Macaca mulatta: one gene and its partner. The protein of the gene in region 2 interacts with the protein of the main gene of each other region in a pairwise test. Links are inferred from orthologs where the notes say so. Each region holds a gene or a part of one and is shown on either strand. Other genes may lie near its edges.

Region 1 (4,204 bases), on a different chromosome or scaffold from region 2:
CTCAAGCTGTGGTCCATGAACGTCGGGAGTCCCTGAGACCTTTTCAGGCATCCATGAGGGCCTCCCTTTCCCAACTGCATGATTTGTGTGAGGCTGGGGTTTTTCATACCTACAACTAGACAACTAAACAGTATATTTGGAGAGACTGAATGCAGAAGTACACATGAGAATCTAACCTTCCATTAAGCCTGATATTAAAGACATCAGTGAAAATGTAAAACGATGACAGTCTTCTCAATTTGTTTTTGTCTTAGAAAATATAGGTATTTTTAAAGTGTGATTTTTATTACCATGGAATGGAGTTTTATATTATTTTAAATGAATTAATAACTACATTTTTAAAATTCTGCTTTAATTTCTAATACAGCAAATATCGATAAATAACCCACATAAAAATTCTCTGGAGTCCTCAATAATTTCTAGGAGTACAAAGAGATCCTAAGGCCAAAAAAAAAAAAAAAAAAAAAAAAATTACTAATTGGGAGATACAAGTGTCAGAATATACAGTAACTGTTCAGTAATATTGCTGTAAATTAATCAATAGGATTGCCTATTCACAACAGCAAAGGCATGGAATCAACCCAGGTGCCCATCAGTAGTGGATAGGATAAAGAAAACGTGGTCCATATACACCATGGAATACTATGCAGCCATAAGAAAGAACAAAATCATGTTCTTTGCAGCAACATGGATGCAGCTGGACATCATTATCCCAAGTGAATTAACAAAGAACAGAAAATCAACCACTCATGTTCCCACTTACGAGTGAGAGCTAAACACTGGGTAATCATGGACATAAAGATGGGAACAACAAATGCTAGGGATTCCAAACACGGGGAAGGAGGCAGGGGAAAGGTGTTGAAAAATTACCTAGGGAGTACTATGTTCACTACTTGGGCAACGGGATCATTAGAAACCCAAACCTTAGCGCTATGCAATATATCCGTGTAATAAACCTGCACACCTACCCCCTGAATCTAAATTTTTAAAAAAATTACATTAAAAGATAGGAGCGCCTCCTCCTTTACACCACCTGAATTATCATGGCACGTAAGTCTCACACCCTATTTGCCAAGGCCATTCGTTCCTAGCTCTTTTACAGGGAGGTCAGCTTTCTCAATGCAAGTCTGTGGGACGGATGCAGAAAAATTCCCCCAGCCTCCCCTTTGATCCTGCCCCAGCTGGTCCCCGCCACGCTGAGGGACGCGTACCCTGGGACGCGCACCCTGCTGCCCGCAGCCGGAGCCGTTCGCCACACCCCCGTGTTTATGTCGGCCCACGGGGGTTGCCTGTCCCTTTAATTGGCATGTACCAAGTCTTTCCAGGTCACATTTCCTCCCTACGTCCCAGCCGTTTGGAATCATTAGCCAAAAGTCCAAGAGGAGGGAATGTGGAGACAGTGTTGTATTTCTGCGGGGAGTTCTGGGCCGACCGGGAGCGAGAGAACGCTCGAGGACGAAGCGCGCCATTGCGGCCCTCCCCGCCGCGTGCCGTAGTCCAGTCCCAAGATGGCGGCCACCATGAAGAAGGCGGTGAGTGGGGCGCTCGGGGCTCTGGATGCGCGGGTGGCGCCGAATCTCGGCCGCGGGGGTTGGGGCGCGGGATGCTGGGGGTGCGCAGCTCCGAAGCCCGGCGTGGGACCCGAGGCCGAGGCCGAGGCCCTGAGAGCGGCCCCGCGGCAAGGCCTGCCCGCGCCTGGCGCCCTGAGCGTTTTCCTAGGCACCTGGCCAGCCGAGGCGGGGAGCCGGGGCTGGGGCCGGGAGCCTCCGAGGGCCCTGGGCCGCCTCCCGCGATGCCGAGGGTGCCCCCGGGGAGTCTGAGGAATCTGCAGCCCCAGCCTTGCCCCTAAGGTGTGGGAAGTCGAAGGTCTCGTTGAGTGTGGTTGGCCTTGACTCGGGCGTTGCACCGGCATGATCGCATTAGCCTCATTGGTTATGGGTAGCTGCTGCTGGGACCGTGGTTACGGGTGAGGAAACTGAGGCCCAGAGATGGGAAGTCACCTGCCTCAGGTTACGCAGCTCATAAGGGGGACAGCAGGTTCCTGCATCCCCGGATTATCAGGCCCAAGAGCCCCCGTGTCCAACCCGGAGCTGCCCATGTCCACGCTCTATGCCCCTGAGTCCTCCAGGCTAAAACCAGTATTTATTGAAGACGGACGATCTGCCGGCCCAGCAGCCGGCCCTTTATCCGTTATCCTCCCCGCAGCTCAGCAAGTGCAATGGGTTCCTCCCCACTTTGCAGGTAGAGAAACTTAGACACAGAGCAGTTAGGGGCCCCAAAGTGACTCAGCTAGTAAGAAGCTGAGCTGGAGTTCGAACTCAGGTTTGGTTTGGTTTTTCTCAAAGCACACCTATGTAACCACTAAGCAGGCTAAACTTCCATGTCGGGTTTATAAATCCGTGGCTTCCCAGATGTGTAAAGATAGCTAGACAGAAGAAAAAGAAAAGTGGAGAGGGGGAAGGAAATAACGACTGACAATTTGGGGAGCTTTACAGTGTGCTAGGTATAGCTGTACTTTTTTTTTTTTTGGGTGTATTGTTTATCTTATGTACTTTAGGGGAGATACTGTTTTTATCCTTATTTAACAAATGAGAAAACAGGCACGGAGGCAAAGCTAGCATTTAAACACAGGCATTCTGACTCCGGAGTCTGAGTTTTAAACTGCTATAGGGGGTCTTCCATGAGAATCTCTTGGCTGGCGGGATTTGCATTCATTCCACTTTTAAGACCACATTAGAACTTCCTTTGCTTTACCCCCATCCAGTACCACATAGTCTATGCCATCTGTGCCTGGTGTAGGGTGACCCATTGCCCCGTTTTATATGAAATTGAGGGACTGCCAAAACTGGGAACGCCCCAGCTAACTCAAGATGTGTTGCTCACCCTACTATTCTGCCATCCAAAAATTCTTACTGAGTCCCAGAGTAGGGTCCAGGGCCATGGTGATTCAAAACAGTATGAAACTTGGTGAGATTCACTTCACCTCTAGTTTGTGAAATTGGGCCCTCTGGTGTTAGGTATGGCCTTTAATTCCTTGAAAGATACTAGTTGTGGTTCACTCCGTTTTATAGGTATGGAAACTGAAGTGCAGAGAGGTGAAGTAAATGGTCAAAGAGGAAATGGCAGAAGAATGATTTGAACCCTGGATTTTGATTGCAAAATTTCTAATTATCAACTTTTGTTTTCCCCCTTTCATTGATTCAGTAAATTTTTGGGGGCATGTAATATGGCATAGTCTCAGTTTTAAGTGGAGACAACTGCGGTGACCAGTGAGGAAGTTCTTCTCCCCTTATTCTTATAGCCCCAAAGAACGTATGTTCCAGGACAGAGGCAGGCATTACTCACATAGTCACACAGAAAACTAGTTTCTCTGGTGAGAACTGTGAAGGAAAAGTACTTACGAAATGAGGGCCAAAATGAGGTCTGTTTTGAGATCAGAGAAGGCTTTCCTGGGAAAGTGCCATTTAAGTTGAGATCTGTGAGATTATGTAAGGAAAGAAAGGGAGAGTTGGATAGAGAATGAAGCATTCTAGAGAGGAGTATCTGCAGAGACTCTGAGTACATTTAATACAAGGAAGGCCTGATGGCAGATAATCAGGGGAAGAAAGTTTGAGCCATGATGGGAAAAGAACTTGTAGAAGGGTAGGTGGTGGCCAAAATATAAAAGATCTTCGTTAACTTTGAAGCCTTTGAGAGTCACATGATAGATGTAATGTCCTCCTGTAGATGTTTCCAGTGTTATGAACAATTCCCGATAGATTATCTTACATGTACGCTTTTCCCCTTTGCCCTCAATGGGAGAAAACAAACATGTATGCCAGTGAGTGAGAGTGAGACAGAGAGAGAGAGCCCTTTGAGTTTAATGAAAAGCAAATCATGTACAATCTGGAGTACTTTACATTTGTAACACATCGTTATCTCTCAACTGGTCATGATTTTGCTGGGGAGAATGTTTAGATGAGATGATTCAGTACTCTCATCTCTAAAGTTCTGCCTTCTAAGATCCAGTTCTTGACCATAAGGAGATCTGCACTTTGATTTCTGTTGATTATCCTACATACAAATGTTCTTTCCTCAGAGAGGCTACCTTTGACCTTTATCTAAAGAAGCCTCCTTCACTCCCCAGGCCCCCAAAACTTTCTTCTCCTAAGCTATTGTATTTTCATCATCACGTTTGTCACCATCGAACATTATCTCGTTCATC
Region 2 (3,959 bases):
TATGGAAACTTAAAAAGATGCTACAAGAGCTGTCTAGTACTTTACAGAAGTCTAGTTCTTTATTATAAGTAACTTCAATTATCTTATAGCTTTTAAGATCTTCAAATCATTATTCTTATCCATATTTATTAGCTACCAGAGAATATCTTAGCTGAAATAAGGAAGAAAAAGGAAGAGAAACACAGCAAGGGAGTGAACTACGAAGCCATCAAACTAGAGACAGTAAAGGAAATTGAAAAGGTGAGGCTGAGTTCTGTATGTAAAAGAGAGATGCCATCTTCCTAGAAGGGTCACTGGAGGGAAGAGAAAGAAGTGTAAGTTTCTAGCACATGATACATGTTATTAGGTGCTGGAGTTCAGCAAGAATTAACTATAGCAGCATAGGCTGTGGTTAAGAGACAGGAGGTGCCTGGTTTGAATCCTGGCTTCACCACTCACTAGATGAGTTGACCTTAGGGAAGTTAATTAACCTCTCTTTGCCTCAATCTCCTCATCATCTGTACAAGTACCTTTTCATCACCAGAAATTAGCATAGGTGAGATGCCTATAAGAGTACGTGACACCTATCTATAGCATAATGTGCCACAGGAACACAAAGTGCCAGGGATTTTGTTTTGGGGTAGAGGTCAGCAAAAACTACAGGGGGATGATAGCTGAACTAGATGTGGAAAGATGAAGAGGTCATGAAATGGACAAGGGTGAAAGAACAATTCAAGCAGAGAAAGAAAACAAATTACTGCCTCAGTGGGGTTGGGGAATGGACTAGGTCTGACTTCTAACCACTATGGTACATTGCCTCCTATCACCATGAACATTAATATCTATTTGACACCTACTACACTGCAATACTGCAAGCATGTCCTCTGTTTCCCATAACAACTCTCTAAGTATTGTCATCCCTATTTCAGTTAAAGAAACTCAGGGCCGATAATATTTCTACAATACCATGTCACTTCAATTATTAATAGTTTAGAAACAAAAACAGTTATATAAAATTTGAGTTGCTTATTACATTATGCAGGTAGAAATTTTAAGGTCTAGAAAAAAATAACCATGACATTGTAGGGAAAAAGCATTTTAAGACATTATAAAGCCCTCAGATAAAGTGTCTCCTCCCGAGTTAGATTTCTGAGGCCATCTCTAGCTGAGCACTATGAATGTAACATTTAAGGCACTATGGAAATTCAATTAGACACCCAGTTTGAACTTATACTATGTGTCAGGCACTGTGCTATGACCAGGAGGAGTGGGGCGATGCATGAGAACTCTCTGCTACTTACACTACCCAGTAGCAGAGCATGAAGGGTAAGCCGCCGGTCTGGACCTCCACAGATTGCCCAAGTTCAAATCCTGGATTCCTCACTTATATCCTGTGTGGCCTGGGCAAGTTACTCAAGGGCCAAGGGCCCCGTACCTCAGTTTTATCATCTAAAAAACGGGCATAACAGTAGCTACCACCTCGAGTTTTGTAAAATTAAGAAAGTGCCCGGCACTCAACAAATTTTATTCTTTGTTATGATAATAGGTCAATGTAGAGAAATAAATGACACAGCTCATAAAAACACAAAACAATAACCAAACAATTACGAAATTCAATCAGCAAATGCAAATATACAATATCAAGTGTGGTATAAATAAATGAGTCTTTAGGATATAAGACGTGGTTAGTGAAAAAGGCAGAGGTAAGGTAAGGTACAAAACAAACGGTTGAGAAACTTCCATGAAGATTTTATAGTAGCTAAGTGGGGACAGACAGATGACCTGGCCTGGAGGGCCAGTCAGACGTTTTCTCTCATTAGTCAGATAGTTTTCAACTACTATTTCTAAATTAAATAAACAAAACGAAAAATTTTTAAAGCCACCCAGAACAGGCAGCGCCCTCCAGAACGGCCTCTGGAGCGACCCGATCCCCTCTCGGACGCTAGCGAACCTGGGACCTAGCGCCATCACGAGGGTTCAGTCTCCTCTCTCAACAATTCATTCTCCACTAAGTTGTCAGAATGATGTACCTAAAACGAAAGGCCTTCTGATGACAGCCCGTTGCCTACCGGAAAAACCTCAATTCTTTAGCAAAACACAGAAGGACTTTACACTCTCACCCTATCATCCTACTTTCCCATCGGTCTCTTCTTCCATTTTCCCCGAGGCAACAGACCACTGCATTCCTTCAACAGACAAGGTGATATTCCGTTTTCACATCTTAGCATTGGCTGTTCTGCCTATTCATTGTACTGTCTCTCCAGCATCCATGCTGAGTCGAGCTCCTCACCACCTCCCCTTTTCCAACCAGCAGGGGGACGAAAACCGGCGGCAGCCCGGAGGTCCCTCAGGCCGCCCTGACCCGCCGCCCTCCGCCCCTCGCCCCTCGCTCCGGCCCCAAACCCCGTTCTCTTCTAGGGCCTTCTCGAGCTACGTTTCTTCCGGGCGGGCCCCAGCAGAGCTCAATCTATCCAGGTGCGAAGAGTGAGAGCAGACCGAGCGCCCCCTCCCTGAACATTTAGCTCAGCTCCTTCCAACAATCGAGGCCTGGGTGGGAGCCGGGAAGAAAGGGGCAGTCCGCGGCCTCAAGCCAAGATGCCAGGTAACAGCGTGCCTCTTACCACAAAGACGGCCTCAGGAATCCCCAGGTGGAGCCGCCGCCCATTCCCTGTGGCCATTTCTCCTTTGCCACAACTGTCCTTAGCGGCCGCCATCTTGGGGATGCGAGCGCGCGACTGCCTCCCGGGCCGCCGGCCGCCGGGATTCCGTGATTGGCTTGTTAGCACTTGCAGGCCCGCCTCTCCATGCACATTCATTGGTGCGCAGGGAGGGTCCCCCATAAGCCCCCGTTCTCCTATGGCCGAAAGTAGCCCAACCTGTAGGTGCTCATTGGCTGCCCTCAGGTAAGTGACAAGCGTGGAAGGGCCGCGGAAGAGAAGCTAGAGCGACAGGAAAAACCCTTAGGCCCTCCTGGGAAAAGGGGATTTGTGAGTGAGCGGTGCTAAAGCCCTAGGAATAGGGACCTAGCCTGACCCCACCCCGACCCTAGAACTGGCAGCAGCCTTCACAATGGCCTCTGGAGCGACCCAATCCCCCTCTCGGATGCTAGCGAACCTGGGACCTAGCTCCATCACGAGGGTTCAGCCTCTGTGCCTTTCTGGTCTCACCATCCCAGGGAGCTTTCTGCCCCTTGAAGGGAACTTACTTTGTGTCTGTTTCAGAGTGGTCACTGGCCTCATTCTAATAAATACCCTGCCTGTCGCACCAGCCTTTCCTGAAAGCCACCTTTGAACAGAATGTCTTCTCTCCAGCTCAAACGTTTCCAAAACTTCATAGTCTACATACAAAATCCTAAGAACTCCACCTAGGCTTCTAGGACCATGGACTTACCCAATGTCATCCTACACTACAACCCTTTAAAAGCACATGTGTCATACAGAACCAAGTAATTATTCCTCGGGCTGTTTTCTGTCCTTTCTCTTCTTTCACTGGAGTGTTTTCCAGTGAGGCAGTGCTTCATCCACTTGCACAAATTCTACCATGAGCCTAAGAATTATGCAACGGAAAGTAAGTCTCTCTTCTCAGAGGCAATCACTGTTACCGGTTTATCTACACAGATAATGTACGATCAAGCATATAGACATAGATATGTCCTTATATATAATATGAGGAAGAAATTGGTATCGTCATATTGTGAATGAGGAAACTAAAGCTCAGTGAACCTGTACAGCTTCTCCAAAATCCTACAACTACATAGTAGTGAAGCCGGAATTCCAAACTAGTTCTCCAGTGGCTTCTATGCGATTTGGCTTGGGAGGATGAAGACATGTTAGCTAACCATGACTCTGACTTTTTCTGGTCAGCAGCTTTGTGAGATAATGTCTCTGTTCCTGGAGAGAAAAGTATATGGGAACTCTATTCTTCACCACTTTCCCCCACCTCAATGCCTTCCAAAAAATTTTTTTGTTTTGGAAAAGTAG

The links. The genes of interacting proteins can lie anywhere in the genome.
Region 1: the proteins of VBP1 (region 2) and PFDN4 interact in binary tests that used the Homo sapiens proteins (3 or more experiments, as listed by UniProt). The link is inferred for Macaca mulatta from reciprocal best matches to the Homo sapiens genes VBP1 and PFDN4.

The regions. Positions count from the first base shown.
Region 1 is NC_133415.1:107,034,948-107,039,151, forward strand, and holds the start of PFDN4 (prefoldin subunit 4), read left to right. Parts: upstream 1-1,398; 5' UTR 1,399-1,508; coding exon 1,509-1,532; intron 1,533-4,204. UniProt on the Homo sapiens protein: Binds specifically to cytosolic chaperonin (c-CPN) and transfers target proteins to it. Binds to nascent polypeptide chain and promotes folding in an environment in which there are many competing pathways for nonnative proteins.
Region 2 is NC_133426.1:161,508,943-161,512,901, reverse strand, and holds the start of VBP1 (prefoldin subunit 3), read right to left. Parts: upstream 2,811-3,959; 5' UTR 2,796-2,810; coding exon 2,601-2,795; intron 1-2,600. UniProt on the Homo sapiens protein: Binds specifically to cytosolic chaperonin (c-CPN) and transfers target proteins to it. Binds to nascent polypeptide chain and promotes folding in an environment in which there are many competing pathways for nonnative proteins.